Tribolium castaneum: one gene and its partner. The protein of the gene in region 2 purifies or fractionates together with the protein of the main gene of each other region. This does not show direct contact. Links are inferred from orthologs where the notes say so. Each region holds a gene or a part of one and is shown on either strand. Other genes may lie near its edges.

Region 1 (4,094 bases), on a different chromosome or scaffold from region 2:
GTTTTTTTTCCTCAATTACGGCAAAATTATTCGAAAAAGTGGAACTATTTTGATTCTGTCTTATGTAATATGATCCGAGGAATCGATTGGCATCGAAAAATCGTCAAATTCCCAACAGTTTTTTAGTTATGAAGCTTTTTTATATTACTAATTTTGTAAACTGTTAACCGAAGAATAATGATCTTTCTTGAAACAAATAATTAAAAGAAAAATTGAGTTATGTATACTTCAAGAATTCCAAACGCAATTAGAAAATTTGGGGTTTAAGTTTACCTAAAATTTGAAAACTCCATTTTTTTTCTTGTAATTTCCCCAAAAAACAGGAATGTTACCGATTTAAAAAAAGGTATGAATTAAAAAAAAATCTAAATAAGTGGAATTATTTCGAAAACAACTAAACTTTGGTTTAAAAAAATTCTAAGAAAAATTACAACTTAATTTTTTATGAGATGTTAAGGGCTATGACCTACAAGTTCCAGAGTTATCGATAACCAAATGAGAAACATTTCGAAAAAAAAACCTTATCAAAAGAATTGGATCAGCAATCAAACGGCGTAAAAATCTCAACCTTGTGTCAACAACAATAAGCCAGATAAGAATTTAGCACGGTGTGTTGTTTGCTCACCTTTTTCAGAATCTTTTCTCCCGGGTTTTAATAGACGGTAGCTAATCAGGTTCGTGAAAATTTTGTTGTGACAATTCAGCGTGACAATATTTATGACCTGCCCCAAGTTTTGTAATCTATTCAAGTCGTAGAGAAAGCAACGATAAATAAACCGCTCACAATTGGTGCTAATTTTCCATGACTTTTTTTTCAAATGAATGAAAATATTTCACTGTTTGTAAACACTACTGTAATCGCGATTTTATCACCAATATGATTAAGCCAACAATAAAAAAAAACTGATGTAATACAATCGCATTGTTGGGTTAATTCGTAGCTCAAACACTGTGTTTTTCAACTGGATGCTTTCAGTGAGATGCTAACTTTTACGAACAACACCATTTCTTTTTCCGACTGCGCTTCATTAGCACTTCCGAGATGTTAAGGTACCGAACAATGAAAGAGTTTTTCCGAAAACACCAAACTTTCTCTTTGTTTTCATTACACTGAAGGAGCAAAGTTTTTTCATTTCAGCTCCCCAGCAGCGTTGTTGCCTTAATTAATACATTTGTTTTTATCGCCACAACAATAAAATTTCATTTGCTCGTAAATTTGCGCAATCTATCATTTCGGGTAATTGCAGGTGTTAATAATAAATAGAAATTCCAGATTTATCATCCGAGTGACAATTCTGAGTATGGCTTGCATAACTTTGTTGGCTTTGAGTAAATAATACTTGGTTCTTGTGGGCAATTAGCAGCGATAAGAAAAGGTTTAGGCGCCAAAATTCCCACGATAAACCACCTGATGCTATAAGGGGTGACACCGGATAGCTACCCTCCATTAGGTAGGGAAGGGAAATCGATTTATGAATGACTTCTGGTTAAGGCGGAAATTGACTGTTATTTATTTGAGATAAAGGAAAAACTGAAACCGCAAATCGTCATCATGATTTGGTCACCTTTTGTGTGTCTTTTCAATCACTTTAGTGCGGGGAAAACCACTCATTTTTGTTTAAATAATAATTATTGACTGCTTTTCGGTTTTTTCTAAATAAACTATAGAATGGAGGTGAATTATTTATTCTTAAGTTTCATACGGAAATCATAAAGAAGAAAAGAAGTAGGTACAAAGTGCAAAGAAGTGAAGTAAAAACAATGAATACAAACAGAATATAAAAGACCACAAACAACTTGGCAAAAGAAAAAAATATGCTCAAAGACATTAGGTAAAGCACACAATTTCTTCTCAAATACGAATTTTAAAAAATCATCACTAGTTGGTTATTAGTTTTTTTATATTAACCCCCGACTTAAAGAAGGTAAATTAATTTATACAGTTATTAGAAAATTAATACGCAAATAAATAGCAAATCAAAGTAGTAAAATGTCAGGAAAAACTGAGTTTTATTCGCATATTTTAAAGGTTAATTATTGTAATAAGTACCATTAAATACAATTTCAATTACTACTTACCTTTTTGTAGTAATAAACATGAACAAATCCAGAAAAAACATTAAATTATAAGTTAAAATTAAGGTAACTTTAATTTTTTAATGATCGTTCCAATTATTTTGGAAAATTTCGTCCAAAATTATTGGAAAAATAACTACTTTTTGTAAATTTTGTAAATTAATGTTTGTAGAAGCTGAAAAATTACCGTCACTCACACTGATATTGTCTTACTTTTTTTGTAAGCATTTTTGATCCAAAAACTCTTTTATTTTATCAGATTTCGTAAAAACTAGCTAACAAATCAATAGTTTAAGCCAAAAGTAAGAATTTTTTGCTTAAAAACATCATCATATACGTAACATTTTCAATGGAAATTATTTTTTACGTACTCTAAATTGCCAAATGGGTGTGTGAGGGCTGCTTGCTGGCGTAGGTAAGGTAAGAAAAAAGTCAGTGATAAAAAACGACCGAATGAAGAAATTTGTGGAATTCGTGTGTATGCAAATGTGTGTCCCGCCGCAATAATTGAAAGCATTTAATCTCACTCGAAAGAATTCCGATCGTTCACATTTCGAACGAATCGAGCTCTAGTGAGAATAAATAAATTTCCAAAGTGTGTGAAGAAGAAACGAAGGAACTAACGAACGAACGGTGGTCCTCAAAACCCACATAGTCGTCGGACATCACAAGTGACTAAGGCCACGAAAACATTCATTAGTACAAGAACTGTCACCTGATAAAGGAGCAGCCGTGTCGGCAAACGGACCTCCGTAAATCTTCAGCGGGTTTGTAGTGTTTGGACTAATGCCGACCGCCTAAAAGCCAACGACTGTTAGGCAGTTGACGAAGGTGAGTTCCGTGTGTTTGTTGCTTGCTTGCTTGCTTGCCTGCCTGATGTTTTGACATTCAATCGGACCTCCTCCAACTAACACAACACTAAACCATTTATTTCAGATCGGTTTCAAACCCATTTCTACTTCTATATTCTCTTTTATTTGACAATAATTCGATAATTAACAATCTATAGAAAATAGATTTAATCACTAAATACACAAATAAACATAAATTTTAATAAAATAGCCAAGTCATTTGGCTCCAAATATTTATCTTATAAAAAAACTCAATTTTAAAATGACATTGTTTTTACTCTTGTTACGACTTTTCTGAACGTTTTTGACTCTAAAAATGAAAATTTTTGCCGAATTTCATCATAAATTTTTCAAGAAATCACAAAATTTGTGTATTTTGTACATTTTTTAGTAAAAGTAATTAAAAAATACCTAAACTATTGTCAAATTTGCGCCGCTTTTCAAGCATTTTTACATAAAAGCTAATAAGTTAAGATTATTTTTGAACTTTTTTTGAGGTTTCAGTTCCTTTTTCAGGCAGAAATTCACTCATTTCGCGAAATTCAAAATAAAAAAATACAAAGTTGAGTCAAAAAACACAAATTTGTTCTTTTTTCAAAGCGTTTCAGCACTTTGTCAGCCTGAAACACAAAAGTTTTCTAAAATTTTGTCCAAAATTTAATGATTTTTAAGCTAGATAAGCATTTATTTTTCTGAATTTTGTCAAAAATAAACCGTCCAAGAAAGAATTGACATATGTCAAAAACTATGATAGTTAAGTACTAACAAGTTTAGTAAATTTTTGTACTTCCGGAAGTATAGTCATTTTGAAAATGATTTCAGTTTTCAGTCATAGCTTTATGCAAGTTAAAAAATGCATCAGTCTGTATAGTTTCCAGTCTACAATCGAATAAAAGAAAAATGTTAGTGGTTGGAATCTTTCAGTGGTCTAATAATTCCATATAAACCTTGCGTTAAGAGTTCTCTTGTGTGTACTTTAGCACGTCTCAATTTTCTCTCGTTTGTATTAATTTGTGAATGAAATGTGGTCGTTGTTGGTTAGTTTTCCCACAATGGTATCGTGTAATTAGGTCCTTAAATTTAACAGCCTTGTCCTGGCACATAAAAATCGTATCTAGTTTTTGAGTTTGCGAAGAAGTTTATAACTCAGTAATTGGATATTACGGT
Region 2 (3,393 bases):
CACCTACTTTCCTCTCTTTTTAAAAATGCACGCTCAACTCGCAAATTTAAATTCAGAACGGCAACAAATAAAGATTATGCACATGACTCGGGTTTTAATGAAAATAATCGAACTTATTTTATTTATTTTATATGTAAATGCGGTTTTATGGCTTTTTTATGCCAGGTAATTGCAATATTTGAGCGGTAAAGGCCTCGCTATTTCGGACGGAAACGGTTTTATTGATTAGCAGGGAAATGACCACTGAAATTTTGATGAATGTCTCCCAATTTAGTGAACATTCCGTTCGCATGAGCCAGCGGTTTAATGGACAACAGGAATGCCACATAAAAAATAAATACCCGAAATTGAATGCTGGCGGTTTTGTGACATAATCTGCGAGCGGAGGCTGTTGGCACCGAGCCACGATCGCCAAATTCATGACGAGGGCTCACATTTCCTATCAGCCCTTCATACACACAAAAGCTAAATAACTTATTATATATTAGTATAACTTCGTACATATACAGGCTGTCCCAATATTAGAAAACACCAAAGTTATGTTTTTTCAAATGGAACATTTTTGGGTTTAAAAAAACTTTAAAGAACAGTAGAATCGAAGGGAACACAAGTATTATACCAAGTATATAGAATATAGTATGTCATACGTCATACTTAGTCATAACAGGTGCCAAAATCTCAAGAAATCGATTTGTATCGAAAAGTCAGTGGTGGTTTTTGTTAATTGTGTCGTGAGGAGTTGTTGGAATTTGGGGTCGGGAGGGGTTTGGTGGGCGTTCGTGCGTACAGGGTGTCCTAAAATAATGGCATATCGGTACTGGCGATAAAAATGTCGTCGTTTGTATAATATAGTAATGAAAGAAGAGGAAGCAGAGGAGGAATGTGTGGTGGTTCCTTTTCGGGGTTGCGTGGTCGTTTCGGTGCGAGGGCATGTCGTGTGACAGCTGTGAGATATGGTATGGCGGTGTGTATCTGTCGAGTATGAGTAGTGATTGGCAATATTGTTGAATCGGAGTGATCGGAGTAATGGTAGGCCGCTGCGGCCGTAGGTAGGCTTGCTAGCGTTGGACGATCCTTCCTAGAAGGACAGTCTAGGCGGTGAAGTGCGGCGGAGATTGCCGTATCCATATGTATGCAACTTGGGTGGTCCGTGTGACGTCAGGCCGCTGCTTGGGTGGTCCATTGCATGGTATACTCTGTTGCAGGGCAAAGCGAGCGGAGACCGCGGCATTCTGTGGGTTCGTGGCCGAATTCAGCGCCAGCTGCGCTCCCTGGGCCGCATCCTCGATACGCACGCCGGCAAGTTCCTCTTCGTGAGCGTGCTGGCGATCGCCACCTTCTCCGTGGGCCTGAAGAGCATGGCCTTCCACTCGGACATCGAGCTGCTGTGGGCCGAGCCCTCCACGGGCGCCGAGGCGACGCCGCAGGAGATGCTCTCCACGCACCAGATGATCGTGCAGACGGCCGTCGAGCCCGACATCGACCTCCTGCATCCGCACGGCCTCCTGGAGCACCTCGCGCTCCTCCAGAAGGCCACGCAGGTCACCATCACGATGTTCGACATCACCTGGCGCCTCAAGGACTTCTGCCAAGCACCCAGCATTCCCAATTTTGATGCGCACTTTATTGAACAGATTTTCGAAAATATGATGCCCTGCTCCATCATCACGGCGCTCGACTGCTTCTGGGAAGGCTCCAAATTGCTCGGACCTGATTATCCTGTCCATATACCGTAAGTTCGGAAAACCGACCGACTTGGAGGGTGGTCACGGGCTCAGCAGCTGCCCTTTTATAACCAACTCAAATGTCTTACCTACCGCGACCGTTCCCGGAACAACAGCCAAAATGCTCGCAAAAAGGCTGATCACCCGTTTTATTCAAAATATTTACTTTTTTTCATCGTCTTATTTAATTTCATTTTTAATCCGGAATCGGAATCGAGTAATTCATATTTTTTTGGCTTGGCGAAAGAACGTAACATTATTTACGCCTTTCTTTTCAACAACAATTAACTAATTTAACTACAGTTTACATTTTTCATTTGAAATAGGGGAGATCTCGAGAGTTCGCAATGTACTCATTTTATAGAAACATAGTGAAGAGTTTGGATTAAAAAAGTGTCATAATTTCAAATTTCAAGCAATTAATTTATTAATTGGATAATTATAGTTGGTTTTGTTACATGATGATTTGTTTTTACAATAAATAAACAAAATTTCTCAAAATCCAATACTTCTTGTAATTTCGTTATGCATTTATGTTACATTAATCCATCTGAATCATATGTTCACGTATTAAGGCCTAAAATATGCGACAAGTCATTCATTTTTGAATTCTCACTTAGATTCTTTTACCGAAAATCTTAAGGCAGTATAGATAAACATGAAGAAAAGTGTCATCAAAATATTGATACATAATTTTTGTTGTTAAATTTCGATTCAGAGCATTAAATTTACAAAAAAAAGTAACCCAAAGTGTGATTTGGGTTTTATCTGGAGTTTATTTGTTTCTAGATATGGAATAGGCAAGCATATAAAATGGACAAACCTCAACCCCAGTCAGTTAGTATCCGAGTTAAAGCAAAAAGAATCCCAGTTTGATTATCATTCTTTAGAGGATTATTTCAAGCGTGCTGGAATAACCTCTGGATATCAGGAAAAGCCGTGTTTGAACCCCCGCGACCCGGAATGTCCAGTGACGGCTCCAAATTACAATTCGAGTCAAAATTTAGATATTGGTGCTGAACTAACCAGTGGTTGTTACGGTTTCGCCGCGAAATACATGCACTGGCCGGAAGACTTGATCGTTGGCGGTGCCAATAAGAATAAATCTGGTCATATTAAACAAGCCAAAGCTTTACAAACTGTTGTACAATTAATGGGCGAACACGAACTGTTCGAATTCTGGTCTGGACATTACAAAGTGCACCACATCGGATGGAACCAGGAGAAGGCCACAACCGTACTGAACGCCTGGCAGAAGAAGTTCGCACAGGTTGGTGGTTGGCGCAAGGAGTAGAGTGAATGGTGGTAATTTTTGGTTGTTCCAGGAGGTGGATCGTCTGACGAAGAGCAAGAAGTCGTCGAATTACATCTTCGTGACGTTCTCCACCGCCAATTTGAACAAGATGTTGAAGGAGGCGTCGAAGACGGACGTGGTGAAGCTGGGGGTGGTGCTGGGGGTGGCGGCGGTGTACGGGTGGGTGGCCCAGTCGGGGCTGGCTGCCTTGGGAGTGCTGGTCTTGGCGAGCTCAGCCGCCGCCGCGCTGGGCGTTTGCAGTTTGATCGGACTGCCGATAAACCTACTGAGCACGCATGTGTTACCTTTTGTTACTGTTGGACTCGCAATGAGAGAAATGTTCCTTATTTTGTCGACGCATATGAGGAATCTGTC

Evidence for each region.
Region 1: the proteins of ptc (region 2) and hh purify together in Drosophila melanogaster (affinity purification with western blotting; 3 studies listed by BioGRID). This does not show direct contact. The link is inferred for Tribolium castaneum from reciprocal best matches to the Drosophila melanogaster genes ptc and hh.

The regions. Positions count from the first base shown.
Region 1 is NC_087397.1:309,545-313,638, forward strand, and holds the start of hh (hedgehog), read right to left. Parts: upstream 2,811-4,094; 5' UTR 2,792-2,810; intron 1-2,791.
Region 2 is NC_087403.1:6,989,715-6,993,107, forward strand, and holds part of ptc (patched), read left to right. Parts: intron 1-815; exon of another isoform or gene 816-1,128; coding exon of another isoform or gene 1,129-1,146; intron 1,147-1,205; coding exon 1,206-1,732; intron 1,733-2,513; coding exon 2,514-2,994; intron 2,995-3,049; coding exon 3,050-3,393. UniProt on the Drosophila melanogaster protein: Segmentation polarity protein. Acts as a receptor for the hedgehog protein (hh). Associates with the smoothened protein (SMO) to transduce the hedgehog signal leading to the activation of wingless, decapentaplegic and patched itself.